Linked DNA regions of Arabidopsis thaliana. The protein of the gene in region 2 interacts with the protein of the main gene of each other region in a pairwise test. Each region holds a gene or a part of one and is shown on either strand. Other genes may lie near its edges.

Region 1 (7,654 bases), on a different chromosome or scaffold from region 2:
CTTAAATGGATGTTTTGATAGATCCAGTGGGATGGACTCCATGAAATAGCAGCACTAGTGGGGATTTGTCCACATTGTTCTACCGCGAATATCAAAACAAAGGCCCCAGAGCAAACGCAAGCCAGAGAGTCCATCCGAATGGGAACAAGATCATCACAGACCCGATGGAAGCAGTCATGTTTACGGTTAGAGAGTTCATAAATAGAGATTCGTGGCTCAACGCCACCGGAGTTCCATACAACGAGGGTTAATGATTAAAGAGAAATTGTAAAAAATGTTCTTCCAAAATTATCATTTTTTAATTATAACCTTTCCTGTTAGTCATTTTCATTTATACGTTAATTTAATTTTTAATGACTATTTTACTCATATTTTGAAAATATTTTAGGTTAACAAAATAGAATATCGATTTTTTTCGCCAAAAATATTCCGAAAATAATTTTTCTGTCAATTTTTTTTTTCCAAAAACATTTTTCCCGTTTTTGTTTTGGCGATAAATAGATTTGTAAATGGTTTTAAAAGTAAGGAAATGTGATAGATTACAATGATTTTTAAATGTAAATTGGTGGGAATTGTTTTGATGGGAAAAATAAAAAATTTGTAAGGAAATTGTTTTTTGGCATTGGTAGAAAATAGAGATTGAGACCTAAGTCGAGCAAGTTCCACAATTATTGGGCTTAGATCAATCGCCGTAGAGTTAATACTATACGAAAAAGACCAAAATTGGTCTCTTGGTAATGGGCTTTATTCTCAAGTATGTATATGTATGTTTCTCGTAAACGACATCGTTATAGTAGAATTAGGGCTTAATAACGATGTCGTTTCAAATCTTTCCAAAAGGACCAAAATTAGCCCTCTTGTTTCCAATTCCGGGACTGGAAAGACCGCTCAAACAATTCCAATCACAACGCCGACTAGAAACAGAAGCCTCCGGCGAACTTCTCCCTCCTCAAAAAATCTCTCTCTCTCTCTGATATGCTATCTCTTATTATCTTTCGATTGTCCCACTTGGTATCTTATTAGTGGTCTTGTGCCAATGTGTGATTTGAATAGAGCCATTTTAACGAACTCCTGAACTTATGATTCTCTTGTCTTTAGTGTTCTTGTCTCTCTGTAGATAGTTAAAGCTGTGTCCTTTTTTTCTTCCATAAATCTCAGTGCTGTATAACTACATTGTAATGAACCCTACCCGTTCATACATTTGTTTAAGAAGTCCAGCTATGTCACTTACCACATTCCATGGAATCAATGCTTCTATTCATGTTTAAAATCCAGTTTAAAGCCTGCAAGTGTGAGTGTATCTAGTGTTCATTGATATTCCTCAAGATCAAAGACTGCTAAATCAAAGATGTCAAAAAGCTCTGTTTCTGTTTCGGATTTGATTGATTGTCAAGCTCAAGTTGGATCTTCGGTGAATTCATCTTCCTCAAGAAAGATAAGAAGGCGGACATAAATACATTCATGGAAAAGCTTGTGTCATGGGAAACTGTAAGCACAAGGTTGGAATCCGCAATTGCTCGAGCAGTGCAACGAGAACAAGAAGGAACAGAGACAGAAGATGAAGAGAATCCAGATGACCAAGAGCCAGAGGTCTATTTAGATAGTGATATCGATGTATCTGAGGTTGACTAAAACCTCTGAAGCAATAACATTAGCATCTTAAATGTCAATTACAGGAGCAAAAAAATTTGCATTCTTAAGCCCCAAACATTAAATTAAATTTTGAGACTGTTGGGAGTTAAATAAATGACTAACTTAAGCAAAAACAAAAAGCTTTGTTACAAATTTACATTCCTCCTATTTGGGGTCTAATGATGAGTTACTGCGAGGAGACCTTTGATTGGATAAACCCAAATATCTTTCTTCAGATGGTGAATGTCTGTAAACCCTTTGTATACCATATGGTAACTGTTGTTGTCCATGAATTGGAGGAGAGTACTGTAGTGGATGTCTCTGTCCGTGAACCAAAGACGGAGAGTACTGTCGATGAAGTCTATGTCCGTGACCTGGAGAATATGAATTTGGGGCCAGATGTTCATATGCATATACACTTCTTCCTAACCCACCATGTGGAAGTGGAACCATATATTCCGGGGATCTTCTTGAGCGATGAGGAAAAGATGTTGACGGGCCGAGGTAACTACTCACAAGAGCTGATATTTCATCTTGGTCATCGTCTCTTTGACTAGGAAAGCTTCTATCACGGTAGATAGGAGAATACGATGAAGAAGTTACTGGTGGCATTTCCATGGGTGATAACCTTGGACGTTTTATCTGTTGGTTATACATTCTCTTGGCAAGTGCGGCTTCCTCCATTAAACTGAGAGATCTTGCTTTCTCTTCCATCTCTTTGTCGAGCTGAAGAGTGTCTTTCTCCAAGCTAACAATTTGCTCTTTGATCTGCCATCCTGGTAGTTCTTTCGCAGGATCTAACTTGTGAGTCTCCATACACTGCATAACTGATGATAACACAGCTAGCTGCTTTGTAGCCGCTTCTTTCTGTTGAGAAATAAATATATCAATGGTCAGACTCAGATGATGATAAAGAGTTCATAAAGGTACATAATGTGCAAGGGAAGGGTTCATACAAATGCCAGCGGTGACTGGGCTTTCCGTTTTGCCCTCTCAAATGACTCCTTGCTCATCTTTAAGAATGAAGTTAGAACTAGAGCAGCTGAAAACTTATCCTCCATGCCAAAGGTATAAACCATTTCAAGAGCTTCAATATGCATTCCACGCTTGATACTTGATTCAACTATACCTATGACCAATAGAATATTGTGTAAGTACCACTTCTTAGAGTTGGCATTGCTTAAGCTTAATTAGTATCCAACAGCTAAGTCATATGATTTTAACTTCCAATATTGGAAACCACAAGAAACACTATTTCAAGGCAATAGCCTATCATTTGGTTCTGACAAGCAACAATTTCGTACCAAAACCTATGGTTGAGAGTTCCAAGTTCTTTCCAGATTAATTTCTAGCTAGGATTTGGCTCAATCAGTCATTGCACTCTAAATATTTGATGTGCTCTCCTAGTTTATACCATCAAGCTTATCGAAAAACAAAGATGGAACTTGATGTTGGTCGATGATGTCAACAAAAGGAACCACCTTTGCAATGAAATTCACCGAGTGAGAACAGAATATGGTACCTGAAACTGTGACCGCTTCAAAGCACCGGCAATCTCATTCGAACCACTCATCCTTATCAAATCCAGCAAATCTGTACTCCTAAAGTTTGAAGGAACACCAAAACAAGCAACTAGTAAAAGCAAACCCCTTGCATCCATTTTCTCAGCCGCAGCTAATCCTCCTTCAGTCATCAACCTTTTCCTCCAAGCAACAGCAGCCGTCTCCGCCTCATCTTTAATCCAACTCTCAATCTTCACCTTCCCTTTACCACGATCAGGCATTAGAAGAAAAGACTCCAGTATAAGAAGCGAAACTTGTCTCGCAGAGCTCATAGGCGACTCTTTAGTAAATGCTCTACGCCCTTGTAAGTAAAACTTGCCAATACAATCCAATACAAACTTCGCTGGCTCCTTGGCCAATTTCAAAGCTGAAGGAATCTCTTCCATTAACTTAGCTTGATCAGAGATATTCGCGTATATGTATTTACGCAGACCTTTGCTACACATCAACTCACATATACGTTCCCCCTCCGGTTTATTCGACGTCTCCGGTACAATCTCCTGAGACGGTTGGCTCACAGTGACGGTGGTTTCTACAGATACATTGTTCCGCGGAGGCGATAACATCGGCTGATGGAAATTATTGTTCCGCGCGGCGAGGACAACGCCGTTACTCTCGAGTTTGGAATCAATTGCGTTTTCGATTGACTCGATGTGCTTCTGAAGATCATCGAATTGGCGTTTGAATGTTTCCACTGCAACTGAAAACGCAGCTAATTCGTCTATGGATTTCAAAAATTGAGGCTGCTTAGATTGACCGATCGTAATGTCCATACTTGTAGACTCTGTTTCGACAATCTTCGGTAATTCTCTTCGTCGCTGTTCAGATTGATGTCGCTGCAGCAGTGGATTCGCCGTCGTTGTGGGTTGCGCCGCCACCGTCGGTGGATAATTGGACATGAGATTGCGGCGAAGAAAAAAGATTGCAGAAGCCCTAATTTCCACTCTCCTTAAATCGGTCAAATTACCAAATTTTATTGAACTGTATATTGTGAAGTTCACATAAATTATATATTAATTAGGAAGTAACCTATCTTTTAATTAGGAGAAAACGACTTTTTCCTTTGAGGTAATCGTTATATGTTTAGGGCTTTTATAGTTTTGCTTATGAAAATATGTATTTGTGTTTAATAATTTAATAAAAGTCAGATATATATACACTCTTTTGAGTCTATGCCAAATAATTGAATCTACGCACTTTTCTCTTTATTCTTTGTATTTGATTAATGAAAACATAGTTAGGTTGCATGATTACGACATGTAATATATTGTTTTAAATAGTCACTAAAGCAGTGGTTTATAACATGTCTAATCACAAATAACGGTTCTTGCTCGGTAATATGAACCCAAAAGTTACTGTCTTACTCTACCTGCACTAATGGGGGTGATGGTGTGCTCTTTTTAGTCTTCAAACACGATAATCCCATGATAAAATCCTTGTGTACTTGGTTTAAGTTGTGACTTGTGAGTACTTTTAGTTTTAGGTGGGAAAGAAATGAAAACATTGTGGGCTGACGGTACTAGGTAAGCCCAATAAGGAAAACGACTCTACGCAATCAGAGAAGGTCGCCAAGCGTACGGTCGCTCCCTCATCAACGAACAACGTCGCTCGCTTTTTTATTAATAATAGTTCACAAATATTAAAACACATTTGGAAAATGACTTGGTCACGCGCACCCAAAGGCAGTGCAAAACTAAACGAGCCACCTATCAGTAAAACGTAGCCGTTGATTCGAACCACGTGTATATTGCACGCACCACATGCGAGTACGAGTAAGAGAGTTGGTGGTATATTCACGGCATATTATATGTGCACGAATTGAATCTCTCTAAGCACGAGAGGGCATTTTCGTAACTTTCTTATAAAAAAATCCTACCACGAGTGATTGGGCAAAAAAAAACTGAAAGAGGAAAGAGAGAGTTGGACGGAAAATCTGAAGACCGCCGAGAAAAATACTGTTGAAACGGAACTCTCTTACGTTTTTTCTCAGGAGATACGTTTCATCTTCCTCTCAGTAACTACTCGATTCTCACTCACTCTCGCCGCCATTGATTCTTCATCAGCTGAAGCCTTGAAGCTCTCTTCTCTTATGATCGGTCAGTCTCTTGTTCTCTCCGTCTTTCTGCAGCAGTAATATGGATTTTGCGTCTAGCGTTCAGCGCCAGAGTATGTTTCACGGTGGTGCGGATTTTGCGAGTTACTGCTTGCCGAATCGAATGATAAGTGCGAAACTCTGTCCCAAAGGACTCGGCGGCACTAGATTTTGGGATCCGATGATTGATTCTAAAGTTCGCTCAGCTATTAGATCGAAACGAAATGTATCGTATCGTTCTTCTTTGACTTTGAATGCTGATTTCAATGGAAGATTTTACGGTCATTTGCTTCCTGCAAAACCCCAAAATGTTCCGCTGGGGTTTAGGTTACTTTGTCAAAGTAGCGATTCTGTAGGAGATTTGGTTGGGAATGACCGGAATTTGGAATTTGCTGAAGGTAGTGATGACAGGGAGGTTACGTTTTCTAAGGAAGAGAAAGACACAAGAGAGCAAGATTCTGCACCTAGTTTGGAGGAACTCAGGGATCTACTGAATAAGGCAACTAAAGAATTGGAAGTGGCTAGTCTCAACAGTACCATGTTTGAAGAAAAGGCTCAGAGGATTTCAGAGGTAGCGATAGCACTTAAGGATGAAGCAGCCAGTGCGTGGAACGATGTAAACCAAACACTTAATGTGGTTCAAGAGGCTGTTGATGAAGAGTCCGTTGCTAAAGAAGCTGTTCAGAAGGCTACTATGGCATTATCTCTGGCTGAAGCAAGGCTGCAGGTTGCACTTGAATCACTAGAAGCAGAAGGGTACAATACTTCTGAAGAGAGTGAGGTTAGAGATGGTGTTAAAGATAAAGAGGAAGCCCTTTTATCTGCTAAGGCTGACATAAAAGAATGCCAAGAAAATTTAGCAAGCTGTGAGGAACAACTCAGGCGTTTGCAAGTTAAGAAGGACGAGCTGCAGAAGGAAGTAGATAGATTGAATGAGGCTGCCGAGAGAGCGCAGATCAGCGCATTGAAAGCCGAGGAGGATGTTGCAAATATCATGGTTTTGGCCGAACAAGCTGTGGCATTTGAGCTTGAGGCTACTCAACGTGTGAATGATGCAGAGATTGCTTTGCAAAGAGCAGAGAAGACTCTTTTTGGTTCCCAAACCCAAGAAACAACCCAGGGAAAGGTATTGGATGGAAAGAATACTATTGTTGGTGAGGATGAAGTCTTGAGTGAAATTGTTGATGTAAGCCATCAGGCTGAAAGAGACTTAGTAGTAGTTGGAGTTTCATCAGATGTTGGGACTCAGTCTTACGAGTCAGATAATGAGAACGGAAAGCCAACTGCAGATTTTGCTAAAGAGGCTGAAGGAGAAGCAGAGAAGTCAAAGAATGTTGTTCTGACAAAAAAACAGGAAGTGCAGAAAGATCTGCCAAGGGAGAGTTCATCTCATAATGGTACCAAGACATCATTGAAGAAATCCTCTCGTTTCTTTCCTGCATCTTTCTTCTCTTCCAATGGGGATGGAACCGCAACAGTTTTTGAGAGTTTAGTTGAATCTGCGAAACAGCAGTGGCCTAAGCTAATTCTTGGATTTACACTTCTTGGGGCAGGGTTAGTTGGATACTCAATTGTTTTGACGAATTATGATAAACCATAAACTTTTTTGTCTGTTTTTTTTTAATAGCAAGTTTTCTGATTCATTCTAGAGTGGCAATCTATTCCAACGGAGTAGGAAGGAACAATCAGCTGCCACAACAGCCAAATATTGTCAGCACTAGCGCAGAAGATGTTTCCTCCAGCACAAAACCTCTGATCCGTCAGATGCAGAAACTTCCAAAGAGAATAAAGAAACTACTTGAGATGTTCCCTCAGCAAGAGGTATGAGTGGTCATGCAGGAAATGTACTCTTTCACGAGTCCCATACATACCTTATGGAATTTAACTGTCTGCCTCCAACTTTTATAACACTTAGGTTAATGAGGAGGAAGCTTCCCTTCTCGATGTGTTGTGGTTACTGCTTGCAAGCGTCATATTCGTGCCTCTATTTCAGAAAATTCCTGGAGGTAACGTAATATATTAATTCACTCATTGTATTTTAAATCCCCATATTTTGTCCTCCTTGTTTCATTTGGACTTGTACTATTCATTGTTATCATCAGACAAACCATTTCACTTCTGTTGCCGCAATCATAATGCATAGAGATTTAAATGCTATCTTGTTGGTTTCTTCTGCTGCAATCTATAGGCAGCCCTGTTCTTGGGTATTTGGCGGCGGGAATCTTGATTGGTCCTTATGGTCTCTCAATAATTCGTAATGTGCATGGAACCAAGGCCATTGCAGAATTTGGAGTTGTCTTCTTGCTTTTCAACATTGGCCTTGAGGTTAACTTCAGTATTTGATATATATGTTGTTCCTTTTTCCTTT
Region 2 (8,336 bases):
TTTAGATTGTTCCTCTTCTGCTGATTTATTGTGATAGGCATCAAAGGTTTCATCATCGGTATCAAGCCGAATATGCTTTGCATTCCTTGAGCTTTTTTCTAAGGGTTGAGCGTTGAATACATTCACTGAAGGGAGAAGCAACGTTCTCACCTGCGACATCAAAACAATTTTCCTCATTCTTATACGATTTCTTCACGCAGTTACACTAATCACAATGGAAAAAAGAAGTAGAAAAAGTTGTTTTACCTTCTTAGCTGACTTATCGTTATCAGAAATCGGGTTTCCTCGAATATTCAGATTTCGCAAGCAAGATAGTGTACCCAAAACCTATCATTTGGGAGCACACAAATTTGATGGTTTATTACACGATCACCACAAAAACTTGCCACAAGCTAGGGAAGGCTAACAAATTTGCTTTCACCTATATGAATTAGACTATACCTCTAAACCAGAGAGTTGCGTAATCACATTGTTTCCCACATCCAAATTGAGTAGTCTTTTGTTGACTGCTAGTTCTGCTGGGAGAGCCTGAACAGTTAAGCGTAAATGAAATAACGATTAGCAATATAAACAAAAGATTGTGAGAAGAGGCAGGTTTGTTCTGTAGATTGCATAAATGTAAGAAAGATCACCTTGATTTCATTGTTCGCGAGCCGCAGCTCTTTCAAATCAGAGCATGACTTGAGAGAAGAGCCAATAGCTTTTATTCTGCAGTCAGACAAAGAAATCTGAAACCGAGATGGGATTAGACAAGGATCAGTTTAGTTGTGATTCCGAAACGGGAGGAAAACAAGAGCTTACTTTGGAGAGGTTTTTCAACTTTGAAAGTGAGTCACCTATTTCACTGATTGGGTTCCTAGAAAGAACTGCATGAATGAATCCATACACATTTAAGTAGAATGAAATTAGGTGTAACATCTAAACAGTAACATGTTGATTTTGATGTAAAAGAACATACCGAGACTGTTCAAGTCTTTGAGTAAATCAAGCTTGCAAATGGAGGAGATTTCATTGTCTACAACAAGTGAAACAATAACGAGTAAGTAATCAAACAGTAGCTTGTGGATGCAAAGACATAAAACCGTTGACAACTTACCATTCAAGATCAAGGCCCGTAAATTGACAAGAGAAGAGATCTCATTCATGGATTTGAGCTTATTCTTTCCAGCATTAAGCACCTGATAGAAAACAACATCACACAGTCAAATAAAGCACACATATTAACTCGTTTTCTGTCAAAACAAAGCTTAATCCTGGAGAACCTCACTATTGGTAAGTGATACAAATCTCAAAGAAACAAGCTCAGTGATATCAGTGGAACTAACCGTAAGCTTAGTGAGTGCTTCAATTCCATTTAAGCTTTGCAATTTGTTTTCCACAACTGAAAGCCATTTCAAGTTCACACAAGACTTGAGTCCCTAAAAACCAATTAACACATCAACATATAATAAGCTCTAGCAACTTAAAAATCAAAACTTTGGATGCTATTTATGCTTATAAAATGAGATTTATGTATCAATCAACCTGAAGATCTGTTAGATTGTTGAAACGAAGATCAAGCTTTTCCAAGTTTTTGAACTTGCTCAAACAAGACACCTAAATATACAATTAAACAATTAGGGTTTCGTATCAATTTCTACTTGGGAACAGAGTTTCAGAACAGAAACAATACTCACGTCGGTGAGAGCTTTATGGCCGAGATTAAGTTCCTTGACGGAATCTGGGTCATTGGTCTTCTTCTCTTTCAATACTTGTTCAACGGTTAACGAATTCATCGCCGTCTTCGTCTTCTTCCTTGTCACACAAAACCCTAGTCTTTTGGTTTCACCTTATTCAAAAGATTGTCTCTGTTCCCAACCGTGATAAGTCTTTACCCAAAAACCCCACAGTTTTCTATTGTTTATACATTTGACCTTGTTATTATTGTACGGATCAGGGACACCCTCTTATGGTACTCCTCCCACTTTGATCCTCAAGTTTTATAATCTCCGACTCTGCTGACTCTGTTCTGATAATAGAGTTTTTTTTCTTTCTTTTTGGCGCAACATCAACTTTTAACAGTAACCAAATAGACAATTACACAATGTTATGTTCCACAAACAGTTTGATCTTGAATAAGTGTATTGTAATGTAACAAGGGAACTCAATATGAAACCAAAAGTTTGAATCTCACGACCATGTATGTGTATACACGTGAAACCATATTTCAGTTTTCATTAGTTAGCACCACAAACAAAAAAATAGCACATAAATAAATGAATTCAGAGAAACCAAATTGTAATCCCATTAGACATTCTCCATATTCCGACATTACAAAATAAAACGACAGAAAAATTATGAGATGTTTCAACAAAATGTGCGATTAGTGTTCTTCTCATGAGATGTATTTTTCTTGTTGCTCATGCAAAAGCTTTGCTGAAGATTTAGCATCCAAGTAGAGTGATGTTACTTCCTCTATATCAGCCTGTCAAAATTTAAGATGAAGGATTAATAACATAACATCCACATATTTTACATTTGTTTTATTGTTCTAAGATTTCACAAGTAAATCTACCTTGCAAATATTGTCACGGCCATTCATTTTCGCTACAATGCTGGCAGGAGACAGAAGCTGCACAGCGTGCCTGAGAGTGAAAGCACAAAAAAGGTTTTAGTATTTAGATTCACGAACAGAAATTTTGCTTAGAAAAGCAATGATGACAGTACCTTAGTGAAGTTCTTTGCCCAATCTCCCCAAGTAGAACCAAGCATTCTTCATCCACGGTTAATTCTTCAACTTGCGCACGAATGGCTATAATCTGTGAACAAAATGATAAATCTATTAGAATGTTGTTCGTAGTAATTGAAATCCAAAAGCTAAATGACAATTGAGTAACCTGGATCATTTCAGAGGGATCATAGATTTGAGTCCGGATGATAACCAATCGATCTAATAGATCAATAGGGACTCCATGGGGGCTGGGCATATCAGTCCCTCTGCAAATAAAGTAAATCACAGTACCAAGTTAACAAAAACTCACAAGATTTCCAAAGGAAAATGTCTATCAAGGTCTAGCGCTCTTCTCACCTTACGTTGCAAACACCTCTATTTGTTGCAAATATCACTATCGGAGATAATGAGCTCTCAAGAGCACGGTTCAAGTATGAGAAGCACTCCATATCAAGCATATGAACCTGAGGTTTTATAATTAAACAAAGGTATTCTTACTGCTCCTGAGTCCTGAGCAAGATCAATAGTGGAATGAAAAAAAACTTTATTTGGGAAAATACCTCATCAATAAATAGAACTCCTGGAACAAGCTCTGCCACACCTTCATCTATATATCGGTTCACAACCTACAATGGCATATAAAAATATTAGACCTTGCAAAAGAGAAAGTAAGATGCTTAAAAAAATCACCCATGTACTAGCGAAAATCACCTTGTTAATTTCTTGCCGAAGCTTATCAGTGATCTCAGTCTTCCGCGGTTTCATCATTTGGCCCATCAAAGAAAGTATATCCTGGCCACCTTGAGGTCGAGCATTTGCTGCATCCAGATCTTGGAGTGTGACATCCTATCAGTCAAAAGTATATGGTCTAGTTGAGTAACAAGTAGTCTTAATAAACTTAGGAACTAAGGTTAATACACATACAAACTAATACATAACAGATAATAAATCAACAAAGAAAATAATTACTCTACACAGAAGGGAGAGGTCAAAGAAGGTAAACCTGCACTATCTCTTTCTTTTTGTGGACCTCTCCTTTGGGAAGTGGAACATATTCTTCTGCTTCCAGATCAAATTCAGTGGCAAAAGCATCACTTCTACCTACCCGTTTGACAGCTCCACTGTTTGCTTCGATATAGATTACATCTCCTACAGCTACCTGAGAGGCAAACAGCAAAAATATAAAAAGAAACCAATCAGAATGACAAAGTAATCAGCAAATTCATACACAATTGTCCCCACAGAATGACATCGTTAGAAAACCAAAAAGGTGAAAAGAAAAGCAGGTTTTGGAACAAACTGAAAAGCAAAAACTTAGGGGAAAATACCACATCCAAAGCATAGCATCGCATGCCAAGAACTGACCTTTTCCTTAATCAAGGCATCATAGATAGTGGGATCCAATTTCAGATGTTTGGTTCCTTTGACTGTCTTGAGTGTAATTACAACATGGCTGATGCTTTTACCATAACCTCCAGTGAGGCTTTCAGTTTCTTCTGGTGACAGCTCGGTGACCTAGAACACAAGGACAACATGTCAAAAACCAATTAGCGAGACATGCTATTGCATAAGAACACAGCAAAAGAAACCGCAAATAGCAACACACCTCCCCTTCATAGACTTCTTTGGTTTCCTTGATACGTAGACCAATGGCACGTCTAAAATTCTCCATGAGAACCTCTGTTTTCTTAACCTCTGATGAGTAAACCTCAGATCCAACCATTGGACAGAATGGAACCTGCAAGAAAGAAACAATCCAGATAAAATAAGCTAAAAGTAAAAGAAAAAAGCTTCATACAATGAAGCCATGTGGAAACAATGTAACAAAGAAGATACAAAATGAGACATCCAAAATTACCTTGCTTCCCAGCTCTTGAGAGATTCCAAGAGCCAAAGCTGTTTTCCCAGTTCCAGGAGGTCCAGCAAGCAAAAGAGCCTTGCCCGCCATTTTCTTCTGCTTAATCATGTCAACTACAAGACCAGCTGCCTCTCTAGCCTCAAGTTGACCAACAAATCCAGCTGCCAATTTTATAGGGATACCAGTTGGCTAGAAAAAGAGACGCAACATTAGCAACAGAAATGATGTACTGGTTATAGAACGAGATCACACAGATGCTTGAGAAACTACAGTCAGTAAAAGAAGCAAAGATAGTTAATTAAAATCAAAGTGCCGTGCCAAAGTGGAAGAGCAAAGGTCTTCAAACATCGGTCAAGTACTATATATTTCATAAAATACATGTATTAAAATTGAATATTTGCAAATCAAAACTAGAGTATAATTGTGCTAGAGCCGAAAAAAGAGTCTCGGAGAATACCAAACGAAGCAATGAGCTTGAAACCCCTAAAAATCATTAAACTTTAAACACAAAACCTTAAAGAACTTTGAGCAATACGAGAATACTGCAATGCATCTTATCCCCAGAAAAGTCGAAACTTTACAAATGAAAACTAGGGTTTGTTTGTGCTAGAACAGAGAAAAGAAACTCTAAGCGTAGTACCAAACGAAGCAAATAGCTTTAAAACCCTAAAAAAGCTTAGAACATAAAACCTTAACTAAACCCTAAACTCGAGCAAACTACTGGAATCCACTAGAGTCAAAGAGAGAGAGGAGAAGGAGCACCTCGAGGCCAAGGCCTTTGATATGGGTGTGAGTAGCAATCCGTTGTTTCTTAGCGGTGGACTGAATTTCTTCAATCTTTACTTTCTCCATCTCCGTCAACTACAATTACTTTGATCTGCTTTAGGTCTTTTGTTGTATTCTCCGACGACGAAAACGACGGCGGAAAGTTTTGAGCTTTATTGAGTTTGCAACGCCTCCCTCTGACTCCAAATTGCCAAAACCTCTTCCTAACAAAGTTTATATGTTAAACATGTTGTTGCAACAATGGGCCTTTATATTATCCTTTATTTACAAAATCACCCCACACTTCCTAAACTCAGAAATAGAAAGAAAACGAAAACAATTAGAGAAAAGGGCGAAACAAAAAGACAGGACTCAATAGTCATAAATGTAAATTAAGGGGTGAAATTATAATATATGAATAATAAAAGGGTCTTCTTTTTGGAAACTTTCTTTCTCTTCATCAACAATAGTGATAAGCTTCTTCTTCTGGAAAAAAACCAGAGGCCGTCTCACTCTCTCGCTACATGGAGAGTCTCTCGATTCCCGCCGCTTCTTGGTTTTCCGGCGGAACCATTCCTCCGACGAAGGTGAGAGTTTCTCCGCCGCATCATCTCCGGCGACCTCCCAACAGGAATTCCCATCGCTTGGCCGCCATTAATGCCGCTTCTCGCTCTGGTGACAATCTCTCTCTCTACATTGAACCTTACTACTCAAATGTTCGCTCTTTGTGGAAAATTTCATGTCTTTTGCTTTGTTTTTAGTGAGTGAGCTAGTGGAGGAGGATGTGTTGCAAATGTTCATGAAAGACAGAGAAGAAAATGGAGATTTCATATCTAAAGTTTCTGATAGGCTCTGGTTAAAGGAGATTCTCGAATCTATTGATGTTAATTCCAATGGAGCTTCTTCTTCAGCTGTTGAACTAGATGATACTCGGGTTAAGTTTCTTTCACTTGTTCATTAGTAACTGTAGCTAGTTTTTTTTCTTCAGTTCTAAGTTTGCTTTTGACGATTAAAATTGCTAACTTTGTATCGAGGAATAGTTTGATAGTTATATGATCCTGTTGCAATTGTTATGTGAGTGACTACATTTTTATGAAATCCAGTATTGGTTTGTGAATTTCTGAAATCTCACAAATTTATAGCTTTCATGGCAACAATCTTATACTTGGTACTGTTACTTTGGTTGGTAACTTGGTATAGCTCCTTTATTAATGTCTTTATGTTGTATATGCAGGAAAGCTTGATAGATGGCGCTGATGATGATGAAAGTGGTTTCTTGAAACTTAAACCGACACAAGAATGGATTGGTTGGGAGAGTGATTCTGCCCCCATGAATAAGAAAGCTCTAGCTAAGGTTGGTCATCTATTTATGAATGTTCTTGTTCTCTGTATTCATTCATTCACACGTCCTTCTCATTGCAAAACTCTGCTGCGTTTGTCCTACTTCCTTGATTGCAGGCACTACGAGATGACAGCGAGAGAAGGAAGAAGTTTAACTTTCTGAAATATGAAGCTGTATGATTATTCCTTTCAGTATGTTTTCTTAATTAGTCTGCCAGTCAGATCTTTATGATTCAACAAAACACTCTATTATGCAAAATGGCTGTTCAGTATGTACCAGTAGTCAATTTGTGTAGAATGAACTTTGAAATTGCTGCGTTTGTGTCTTTATTTTTGTAGCTGAAGCGTGAACTCATGTACCTGTCGATTGTAATTGGAACTGGATGCAGCGGATACTGTTTACTAGCTTTATCAGTTCAGGTAAGCTCTGTCAAAGCTCTAACCAGTTTATACTATGGCTTCTCTATACGAAAATGTGTCTGAAAGAAATATTCTGACATATGACAGGCTGCAGTCAGTTATGCAGTTGGGGTTCTATTCAGGTTAGTTGTCTATTTTAATTGGTTTGTACATAAATAGACCTTGACGTTGTAAGATATAGTTCTGCAACATGCTTGATCGAGCACTCGCGTATTCCTAACCAAATCTGATCATAGTGCAGTTGCTTGTACCTTCAGCTTTTGTATGGATACGCTGATGGTCTATCACGTGAAGCTGTTCCTGATATCTTCCTGAAAAAAAAGTCTAAAAAGTAAAGACCTTGACAACTTTTTAGTCTGGTCACGTTTTCTTCTCACTTCCCATACTCACATTGCTCTGAACTTGCTTTTGTATTGTCCCAATTCAGAATCGGGATCAGAAGTGAAGACCTTGAGGACTTTGTAGTGAGGACAATCAGGGGCAGTGGCATGGCTCTCTCTTCTCCACGCTTGGTGATACCAGCTGCAATTTATGGTTTGTGGATACTCTCTCACAAGTATTTCCAGAACGACTTGTTCGACTTTCAGGTAAGCTATTCCACGTTGCGAGGTTTTAGCTATGTTTATCCGTGATACCTCAAAGTTATCACATGTTCTTAGACAAGTTTGAACCTTTATATTCTCCACAACGATTGTGCTTTGCAGATAGTTCCAGCAATGGTTGGTTTGTTTGTATACAAAGCTGCAACTCTCGTTCAAGTGTACAGAGACAACCAAGATCTTCAGTTCATCTTCCCAGATGACTACTAACTGCAAAGTTCACAAGCGGCCTTCCGAGATAGACCAGGAAACCACAGAATTGTGAATTGTTCGGTACATATTTTGAGAGAGGAACAGGAACAGAAGCTAGACTCATCCGCTAAGACCGAGGATATAGTGAGTTATAGATCAAAACGGCGTTTTTCGGCTTTTTTTCAAAAGCAAAGCAACCTCTTCTATTTTTTAAAACATTCTGGGTTACTTTTCTAACGAAAACAATAATACAATGTTTATATGCATGACTTGAATGAGTTTACAATAAACTATATTGGATTTTGCTTCTTTCTTTAATATTTTATCAAAAGTAAGATCAGAGGCAGCAGAGGCAGCTTCGAGAGTACGAGAAATTTGGTTGTTTATGGATCTACAATAAAGGATCGTAGCTTGTAGCTTGTTAAAAAGCCTAGTTCCTGTTCCTCTCTAC
Region 3 (7,963 bases), on a different chromosome or scaffold from region 2:
GAATAATTCAGAGTGAAAGTTAAATATTTATATGGGTGTTACAAAATTTTACTTTTTTTTAGATAAAGAATTGGTTGCTACATATATATGATAGATTCTATATTGTGTAGTGTGAACTAATTAGAATGATAGTTTCGGTCTAATCGTGACAAAATTATGATAGTTTAGGTAGATTGTTTCATAAAATTTGTTTACAATTGATTAACGAATGGCATGTGAAATGGTCAATGCTTTTTTGTGGTATATGTGTTAATATTATCATCTCGTTTTAAGGTTTTGAATAGAAGATGGCAGTGAATCCAAAGTGACTTATAAAGGAGCTAATCTCATTGCACAAAGTATAACTAATGACTTTTACGGCTCCATTTGTATGTAGCTCTTGGTTGCAAGGTGTGTAACGTGTGTTTAATGGTGAAAGATCTCTTTCTTCTCTATGAACTTGTGTGTTTTTGTGTAGGTGGAGACACTTCTTTTGTATATTCCCCTTGTATTGAAAATGTGCTTTGAATAGGTTGATCCCGCAGGACTCAGGTTTGGGTTGGTTCTTTTTGTGTAACCTTGTATTCTATCTTCTTCTTTAATCAAATCAGATGACAAAAAATTAAATATATATTACATTTGTATCCAGACATGTATAAACTTTAATTAAATCACTATCATAATGGTTTGTTGACACAAAGAATTCACCTAACCATGGTTATGTTTTTGTTATTTAATGAGATGAGATCAACCATGGTGATTAAAATAGGTTGATCCCTGAGCTTTGGATTGGTTCTTTTTGTGTAACTTTGTATAATTATATCAAATCAGACAAAAAAATATATATAAAAAATTACAACTGTATCCAAAGACATGTATAAACTTTAATTAAATCACTATCATAATGGTTTGTTGACACAAAGAATGCATTTAACCATTGTTATGTTTTTGTTATTTAATGAGATGAGATCAACCATAGTTCAGTTAAAATTTAATCAAATCACTATCATAATTGTTTGTTGACACAACGAATTCATCTAACCATGCATGATTGAGATATTTTAATGATGAACAAATAAAATAAAATAAAAATAATGATATGAGATCAACCATGGTTAAGTTAAATTCCATTTTGCTAATTATAGTTAAGTTAAGTTATATTGTTAGCTAAATCATTAGAGAAGCTAATTGTAATATTACCGAACAGTAAAAATATTACAAGACACTGAAGACGCATCGCCACCGTTAAAAGCTAAAAACTAACCCAGATGGTGGAAATCAACGGTCACTAACAAACACAAACGACATGAAGCAAATAAAAGATTGCACATATAGCCAAAATAGACGAAACAGAACATAAACACGTGGCGTAAAGAACATAATTATTTTACATCATTCTCATGTCACTCTACCCTCTCGGCTCAACGGTGCTTGCTCCTAGTGTCGTCGCTGTATAGCCTGCGGGATCACAACAACGGTCAAACCATCTTAGATCTGATCTACACCGTCCGGTCAGATAATAATAACAGAAACTGAGTACGTACCAATCGTAGACGGTGGGAGAGTTTGGGTGAGAAGGCTTGTCGAAGAGGTTTGTGCCCATTCCTCTAGTGGCGATGTTACTTCCTGGATGAAACACACTTCTCCACACGTTTTCCTTACGCGCCGATCCTGGCGTCGTCGGAGTTCCAGGACTCCCGGCCACCGCCGCCACAGTTTTACTACTGCTCCCTTCTCCTACACCTTCCAAAAACCATCACATGATATAATTATGAGATCATACGTTTCTACAAAGATCTGTATATGCAAGTTTATTACGGAGTTATGGTTGACAAAGAAAAATAAATACCTTTGATGTCAAGGGGTTGGGTGGTGATCTTATTGCGGAGGCGGCCAAGGCCATGCTCCGGTTTAGGTCCGGCTACAGTTTCATCCCACATATTTCTTTCTTTTTTTGGGTTGATTTTGGATAGAATTGTGTCAAGTGTGAAGTACTTACTAAAGGGCTTCCTTCATCTAATTTATAGACTCATTTTTAAACTATTCGTAAAAATATCTCTTTTCCTTTGTCGACTAGTTCTCTCATTTTTTATTTGACCCACAAAATATCTAGAGAAATACTATAATAGACTAGAAATAATTGACAAGTAATTGATAACTTAATTACCAAATGAAGTTTATATACTTGCACATAGAATTTTCGTTAAAATTTGATACGTTTAGCCAAAATGTTATTATTCTCTGTCAATAAACAACATGAATACATAATATAATTGTAAATTGTGTGTTATGTATTAATATGTCATTTTACAACATTTTAATATAACATGCAACTTCCAGGGTTTAGAGCTAAAATACACGCCATCTTTGGAAATTAGGATGTGGATAAGCCTACTTTAAAGGACCTTAATATATAACATTAATGTTATAATATAGATCAAACCATTGATCATGAGAAGCGTGAGCAGTGAGGGAGAAGTGTGGAAATAAAAAAAATGCAAGGTGGGTATAGAGCTGGAGATATGGATAAGGACGACGAGTCATAAAGTGTAGGGACCCTTAAATCAAAAGAATCCCAAGTCTTTCGTGGAAAAGTATTATAGGAACAACAAACATATTTTGATTATTTTGTGAAGTTAATATTATTAAGCAACAGTAACTCTAATCAAATAGTTTTCCACAAACCCACCATAGATAATAAGTTCATGATGTCCTAATGATCATAGTCCAAATGATTCACTAAAATGTTTGAAAAAGATAAAACTAATTCCAAAACTGTACACAAAACGTATGCACTTTATCCTAAACCAAAAACCACTTTCTACTTACAGTAAAACTTCTATAAATTAATAATGTTAGGACCGAAAAATTATATTAATTTATAGAGGTTTTAATTTATCGATTAATTAATTAATTTATAGAGATATTTTTCTAATTTATTAACTTTTAAAAAAAATTTAAGATTTTTTCATTATAGAAAATATTTTTTAAGAATCAATTACAAGTAAAAAGTAATATCATATTTAGAAAACAACACCAAAATTTTTTGATACAATAAAATATTAGAACTCAATATCAAATAAGAATAAATACAAATTTAAGCAAAAAAAAATATTAGAAATATATTTTAAAGAAATTTCTTACATATAATGTATATATAGTTGATACATTTCTGCAATTATTAATTTGTGATATTAATGAGACCATATATTTACATAGGATTTTCAAAAAAATTATTATCTTATTAATTTATCGATTTATGTCATTTTTTCCATTAGTCTCACCTCGGGATTGGAAGAAATTATTAATTTATAGAGGTTATTAATTTACCGAGTATTAATTTACAGAGGTTTTACTTATATTGATGGAGAAATACAAAACTAAAACTAACTTCTAATTTGAAAAATCTTGGTTTCACAAAGCTAAATTACTTATCAAATAGTTAGGAAACGTACCTCAACATTATTCCATTTCTTTCTCTTTTCCTCTGCTTCCAAGGCAACCATTCTTTATCACATTACTTCTAAAGATCACATTCTAAATCATATTCCCAAAGGTAAAAGAAAACTGTTTTAAGCATAAATTAAGCTTTGAAGAGTTTTACAATGTGTACACATTTCCTCCACCAAGCTCCCATTCCAACCTTATTCCATTATCGGTAAAGGATAGGAATGGAGTTCCAAAGAATTTAGGTGCTACGTACTAAATCTATAACTGAGTAAAAGAAGGATGACATAATGTACAGGAATCTCATCAGTTTGAGCTCATGCCACACCAAGTGACATTTGGTTTGATAACTCAGGGTTTACCATACTTTTCGACATACCCCTGCAAATGAACATAAGAATTGTTAGCTTATGCAATACTTACTACTTAGGTTTTTACCTGCTTTAAGTGTCTTTTATTTCCAGCTAAGAAACTCACCTCGACAAGTTTCACAATTCTGGTTCCAGACAAACCAAGATATTGATCAACTGATTCTGTGTCAGTTGGCACCTGATGAAACTGGACAGCGGCGCCGACTACCTTTTCTGCAGCTTTTTTAACTATCATGTTATGCACGTCTTTAGTTAGACGACCCTCACGCCACAACGGTTTCAACATTTCTTTAATGGTTTCCACAACTGCAGTCCGGAATAGTCTCATTACTTTCATTCCTGCATCTGACCTCACTTCACCATCTATCTCATCTGATTTCTTTGTCTTTTTATATGAAGACCCATCACTTCTATGCCAAGAATCATGCCCTGCAGGTTTGATTCTTTTCAAAACAACTCTATTCTCTGCAGCCGTAGCCGAAGAAATCTCTTTGCTAGGCGTTGCTGTATCATTTTGATCAACCACTGACGTAGCCACCCCTTCCACTACTCCATGTGCTTCCAAACTCCTTGCCACGGTTTCTTGGTGTTGATTTTGACTGCATGAACTGCTTTTATCATCATTCTTGCAATCCCGTGCTTGGGGACCACTAGCAGAATCACCATCTTTCTGCTGGCAGGAACTTTTCCGTGCATGTTCTCCTTTACTTGACAATGAATCATTAAGAGGTCTGTCTCCTAGATTCTCTATATCCGTGAAAGGATCGTAGAGGGCATCAGACGAGGGAAGAATATAAGGTGGAATTGTAAAAGATGCTTTAAAAGGTTCAGAAGGTTCCCAGTCATCTGAAGAAACTTTCTTTTTAGTGCTAGTAGTGTTGGCTTCTGCGCCTTTATCAGAAGAAACAGCTACCCCTTGCAGCGTTGGAAGTGATCCGGATCCAGATAAACTATTCCCATTTTCAAAATCCCCCACCGTAGAAGCACGATCATTCATAGGAACAGAACTGGATAATGATCCTGTCCAGGCTGGTCCAGCAGATCCCATGTCTGTTTTTAAATAGGAACTGATAGAAGGTCTATGCTCATGAACAAAGCTGCTTCTCAATGCGAAGGAATTGGCGTTATTAATAACTAGAGACCTGTTGTCAGTGAAATCAGCACCATACGTTTGCTTCAAACTCTCTCTTCTAATGTTTTCAAATGAAGGCATAAAGCGCATCTCGTTATTGAACGGGAAAACTCTCTGAGAACCTGGGGGATTCACAAAAGACATGGAGGAGAAAACTCTCTGAGGATTCATGAAAGATATATCCTCTCTGGTAGGCAACGATGTCACACCGTTTTCGCTTAACTGGGAAACTCTTACACCTTCTCTGCTGTCCAAAATTCTTCTTTCTGAATAGACATAAGCAAAATAAATTATTGGTTGATTCAGAAAGAGTAATTAAACCCCATAGATATTCACCGGCCTCTATATTGTTGGAACTACCTCCACATAGAATCACAAGAATAAGTATTCATGGTACAACGTACCTAGATCAGACCGGATACCACCGTTTCCAGCCATACTATTTTCCGCCAGTTGTTGACTAGTGCAATTTGAATTCTCTTTCACATGTAGAAACTTGCAGGACACCCCATTGAAACACCACCCTTTAGCAAAAAATTTGCAGGGAAGAGCTGCACGTTTTTGTTCTGGTTCATTCCCACCACCGCCAGTGAAAAAGCTTCTTGGCGGTATACCCGGAGCAGGAAATCTGATAACCGAATTTGTCAGTATAAAAGCTTCAACCTCTTAACTTAGTTTCAGCAAAACTTAAGCAGAAACTTTTTTGCCATACCTTGGTAAAGTACCATTATCTTGAGCAAAAGCTTGCTCCTTTATGATTTTTGATTGCTCATCTAAAGGTGTTGTTACAGAATGCCTCTTCACATCTACATGAGACAAGTTTAATCAGTACATATTAGCAAAACTGCTGTTTTGAATAAACAAAAGAGATTCCTTACAGAAACAAGCACAAAACTCTGAGAATTGAATTTGCTTACTTGGTATTAAAGCCACAATTTTTACAAAAGAGCTTCAGTGAAAATCTAATTGCCAAGTCTTTGAACCTCTAATCAGAGCTAAATCTAGTCAATTTAACAATTCTCTCTTTCTTCTAGAACAAAATTCATCAATTCCAAATTGGAAAAGGTGTTTCCATCAATAAAAACACGAACTTGACAGAATTAATCAACAATACCATGTAACCAATCACGAATTTCAAATACTAACCGTTGTGGGAATTGGAAGCTTGAATTGGTGGTTTATCAAACAATTCAGATTCTCTTACAATTGTATGTACTTGCACCTTTTGTTCGACCTCATCATCATCAATGTCCATGTCGGAATCAGACATCTTGAAGTCTTCGGCGAGGTAACCAACGCAGAGAGTGGTAAATTGATAAAAAAAAATACTGCGGCGTGATCGGGGTCCGAAGCTCGCTGTTGAGTCCTGATGATCTCCGAGAATACGTTTGGTATATCGAAACCACCATTGTTACAAAGACCACCGAACTATTTTATATCTAATGGGCCTTTCCTAAATAATTAAAGCTTTAGTATTAAGGCCCATACTAAATTCCAAATTTTACCAACTATTTCCTAAATTAACACATCGTTGCCTTTTTATAGTAACCGGATTAAACCAAAACAAAATTAAAGAGAATCGAATCAAACCGTGAAAATCGTGAAGCGTAGTGGTGCTATATTGCACGTTAACTGTCTCCATCACTGCCACTGGTAAACCCTAAGAATCCTCCGCAATTTCGCAATTTTGTGAAGGAGCCGCCGGCTAAATTTGATGGCAGACCAAAGTTCGGAGATCGTCAATGCTCTGTCGTCGGAGATGGAAGCTGTTTCCGTTTCATCAACTCAGGCATCTTCTTCGTCCGATGGATTCCAGTGAGTTTTCTTACCAATCATCAATTTTTTTCATTTTCGCGCTTCAATTTTGATTTGGATTATATTATTTGATTAGAGTGGAAGAGATGAAAAAGCTATAGCAATTTAGAAGTATGGAATTTAAAATTGAAAAGATCTTGTTATCTGCTTATTGGTCTGGTAGATATTGAAATTTTACTAATTCTTCAGGATGAGTGAAGAAGTTGAGAAGAGATACAAAATTGTTAGGAGTATCGGTGAGGAATGTATACAAGAGGAAGAGCTAAAGAATCTTCTTGCTAAGAAGGCTGCTCCGATTTGCTACGACGGCTTTGAACCATCAGGAAGAATGCACATTGCTCAGGTCTGTTAGTTTTCCTTTGTTCCATTACCATATGTGGGAAGGAAGCGTTGGCTAATCTATTTTGGTTCTGTTGTTTTCTTAATAGGGAGTGATGAAAGTCATCAATGTGAACAAAATGACTTCAGCTGGTTGCAGAGTGAAGATTTGGATTGCTGATTGGTTTGCTCAGTTGAACAACAAAATGGGTGGTGACTTGAAGAAAATCAGAGTGGTTGGAGAATACTTTCAAGAGATATGGAAGGCTGCTGGGATGGATAATGACAAAGTAGAGTTTTTGTGGTCGTCCGAAGAAATTAATTCTAAGGCAGATAAGTATTGGCCTCTTGTGATGGACATTGCTCGCAAAAACAAGCTCCCTAGAATCTTAAGGTTACTTTTCTAAATCTTCTCCATTCTTGGGACGTTGTAATTATGTGAGGGAAATGATGGGACCTGAATGACTCTGGTTCTTGTCCTTGAAGGTGTGTGCAGATTATGGGACGTAGTGAGACTGATGAACTGAGTGCTGCCCAGATCCTTTACCCATGCATGCAATGTGCAGATATTTTTTTCCTTGAGGTACTGTTAAGCCTTTGCTTGCTTATGAACTGTCTTTGATTCTGCTGCTAGTTACTCGGAATAAAAAATTTAGCTTAAGCGTTACATCAGCAGAAAGTCTATTATATTGTTGATAAAACACCTGATAAAAGCTCCAGGCTAGAAATAAGCTGTATATGATTGCAGATTTTATCAATGTAATGTTACATTTTGTGTATCTGGCTGATGAGTTCTGTGACTACTGTTAAACCATTTTCGTTACATATGTAGGCTGATATTTGCCAGCTTGGGATGGATCAAAGAAAAGTAAATGTGCTAGCGAGAGAATACTGTGATGAC

What was found.
Region 1: the proteins of RIN1 (region 2) and FRI interact in a two-hybrid assay, tested with the Arabidopsis thaliana proteins (one study listed by BioGRID).
Region 3: the proteins of RIN1 (region 2) and FES1 interact in a two-hybrid assay, tested with the Arabidopsis thaliana proteins (one study listed by BioGRID).

The regions. Positions count from the first base shown.
Region 1 is NC_003075.7:265,465-273,118, reverse strand, and holds FRI (FRIGIDA-like protein), read right to left. Parts: upstream 4,219-7,654; 5' UTR 4,094-4,218; coding exon 3,155-4,093; intron 2,762-3,154; coding exon 2,756-2,761; 3' UTR 2,589-2,755; intron 2,500-2,588; 3' UTR 1,633-2,499; downstream 1-1,632. Other genes in the region: AT4G00651 (Fe superoxide dismutase), read left to right, coding at 1,240-1,289, 1,395-1,632; KEA2 (K+ efflux antiporter 2), read left to right, coding at 5,330-6,840, 6,936-7,107, 7,202-7,292, 7,475-7,611.
Region 2 is NC_003076.8:7,388,652-7,396,987, forward strand, and holds RIN1 (P-loop containing nucleoside triphosphate hydrolases superfamily protein), read right to left. Parts: upstream 5,630-8,336; 5' UTR 5,421-5,629; coding exon 5,331-5,420; intron 4,758-5,330; coding exon 4,569-4,757; intron 4,449-4,568; coding exon 4,317-4,448; intron 4,226-4,316; coding exon 4,076-4,225; intron 3,870-4,075; coding exon 3,714-3,869; intron 3,557-3,713; coding exon 3,422-3,556; intron 3,337-3,421; coding exon 3,271-3,336; intron 3,175-3,270; coding exon 3,068-3,174; intron 2,977-3,067; coding exon 2,877-2,976; intron 2,799-2,876; coding exon 2,707-2,798; intron 2,625-2,706; coding exon 2,555-2,624; intron 2,465-2,554; coding exon 2,375-2,464; 3' UTR 2,145-2,374; downstream 1-2,144. Other genes in the region: AT5G22320 (Leucine-rich repeat (LRR) family protein), read right to left, coding at 1-150, 247-327, 442-528, 633-728, 802-866, 959-1,015, 1,097-1,178, 1,326-1,418 and 2 more; AT5G22340 (NF-kappa-B inhibitor-like protein), read left to right, coding at 5,858-6,008, 6,095-6,267, 6,568-6,687, 6,792-6,848, 7,014-7,094, 7,182-7,216, 7,336-7,425, 7,522-7,681 and 1 more. UniProt on the Arabidopsis thaliana protein: Proposed core component of the chromatin remodeling INO80 complex which is involved in transcriptional regulation, DNA replication and probably DNA repair.
Region 3 is NC_003071.7:14,308,368-14,316,330, forward strand, and holds FES1 (Zinc finger C-x8-C-x5-C-x3-H type family protein), read right to left. Parts: upstream 6,348-7,963; 5' UTR 6,200-6,347; coding exon 6,076-6,199; intron 5,736-6,075; coding exon 5,642-5,735; intron 5,558-5,641; coding exon 5,334-5,557; intron 5,196-5,333; coding exon 3,904-5,195; intron 3,808-3,903; coding exon 3,778-3,807; 3' UTR 3,345-3,777; downstream 1-3,344. Other genes in the region: AT2G33830 (Dormancy/auxin associated family protein), read right to left, coding at 1,401-1,437, 1,524-1,722, 1,829-1,919; AT2G33840 (Tyrosyl-tRNA synthetase, class Ib, bacterial/mitochondrial), read left to right, coding at 6,644-6,744, 6,934-7,087, 7,173-7,456, 7,549-7,645, 7,895-7,963. UniProt on the Arabidopsis thaliana protein: Transcriptional activator involved in the FRIGIDA-mediated vernalization pathway, but not in the autonomous flowering pathway. Acts cooperatively with FRI (FRIGIDA) or FRL1 (FRIGIDA-LIKE 1) to promote FLC (FLOWERING LOCUS C) expression.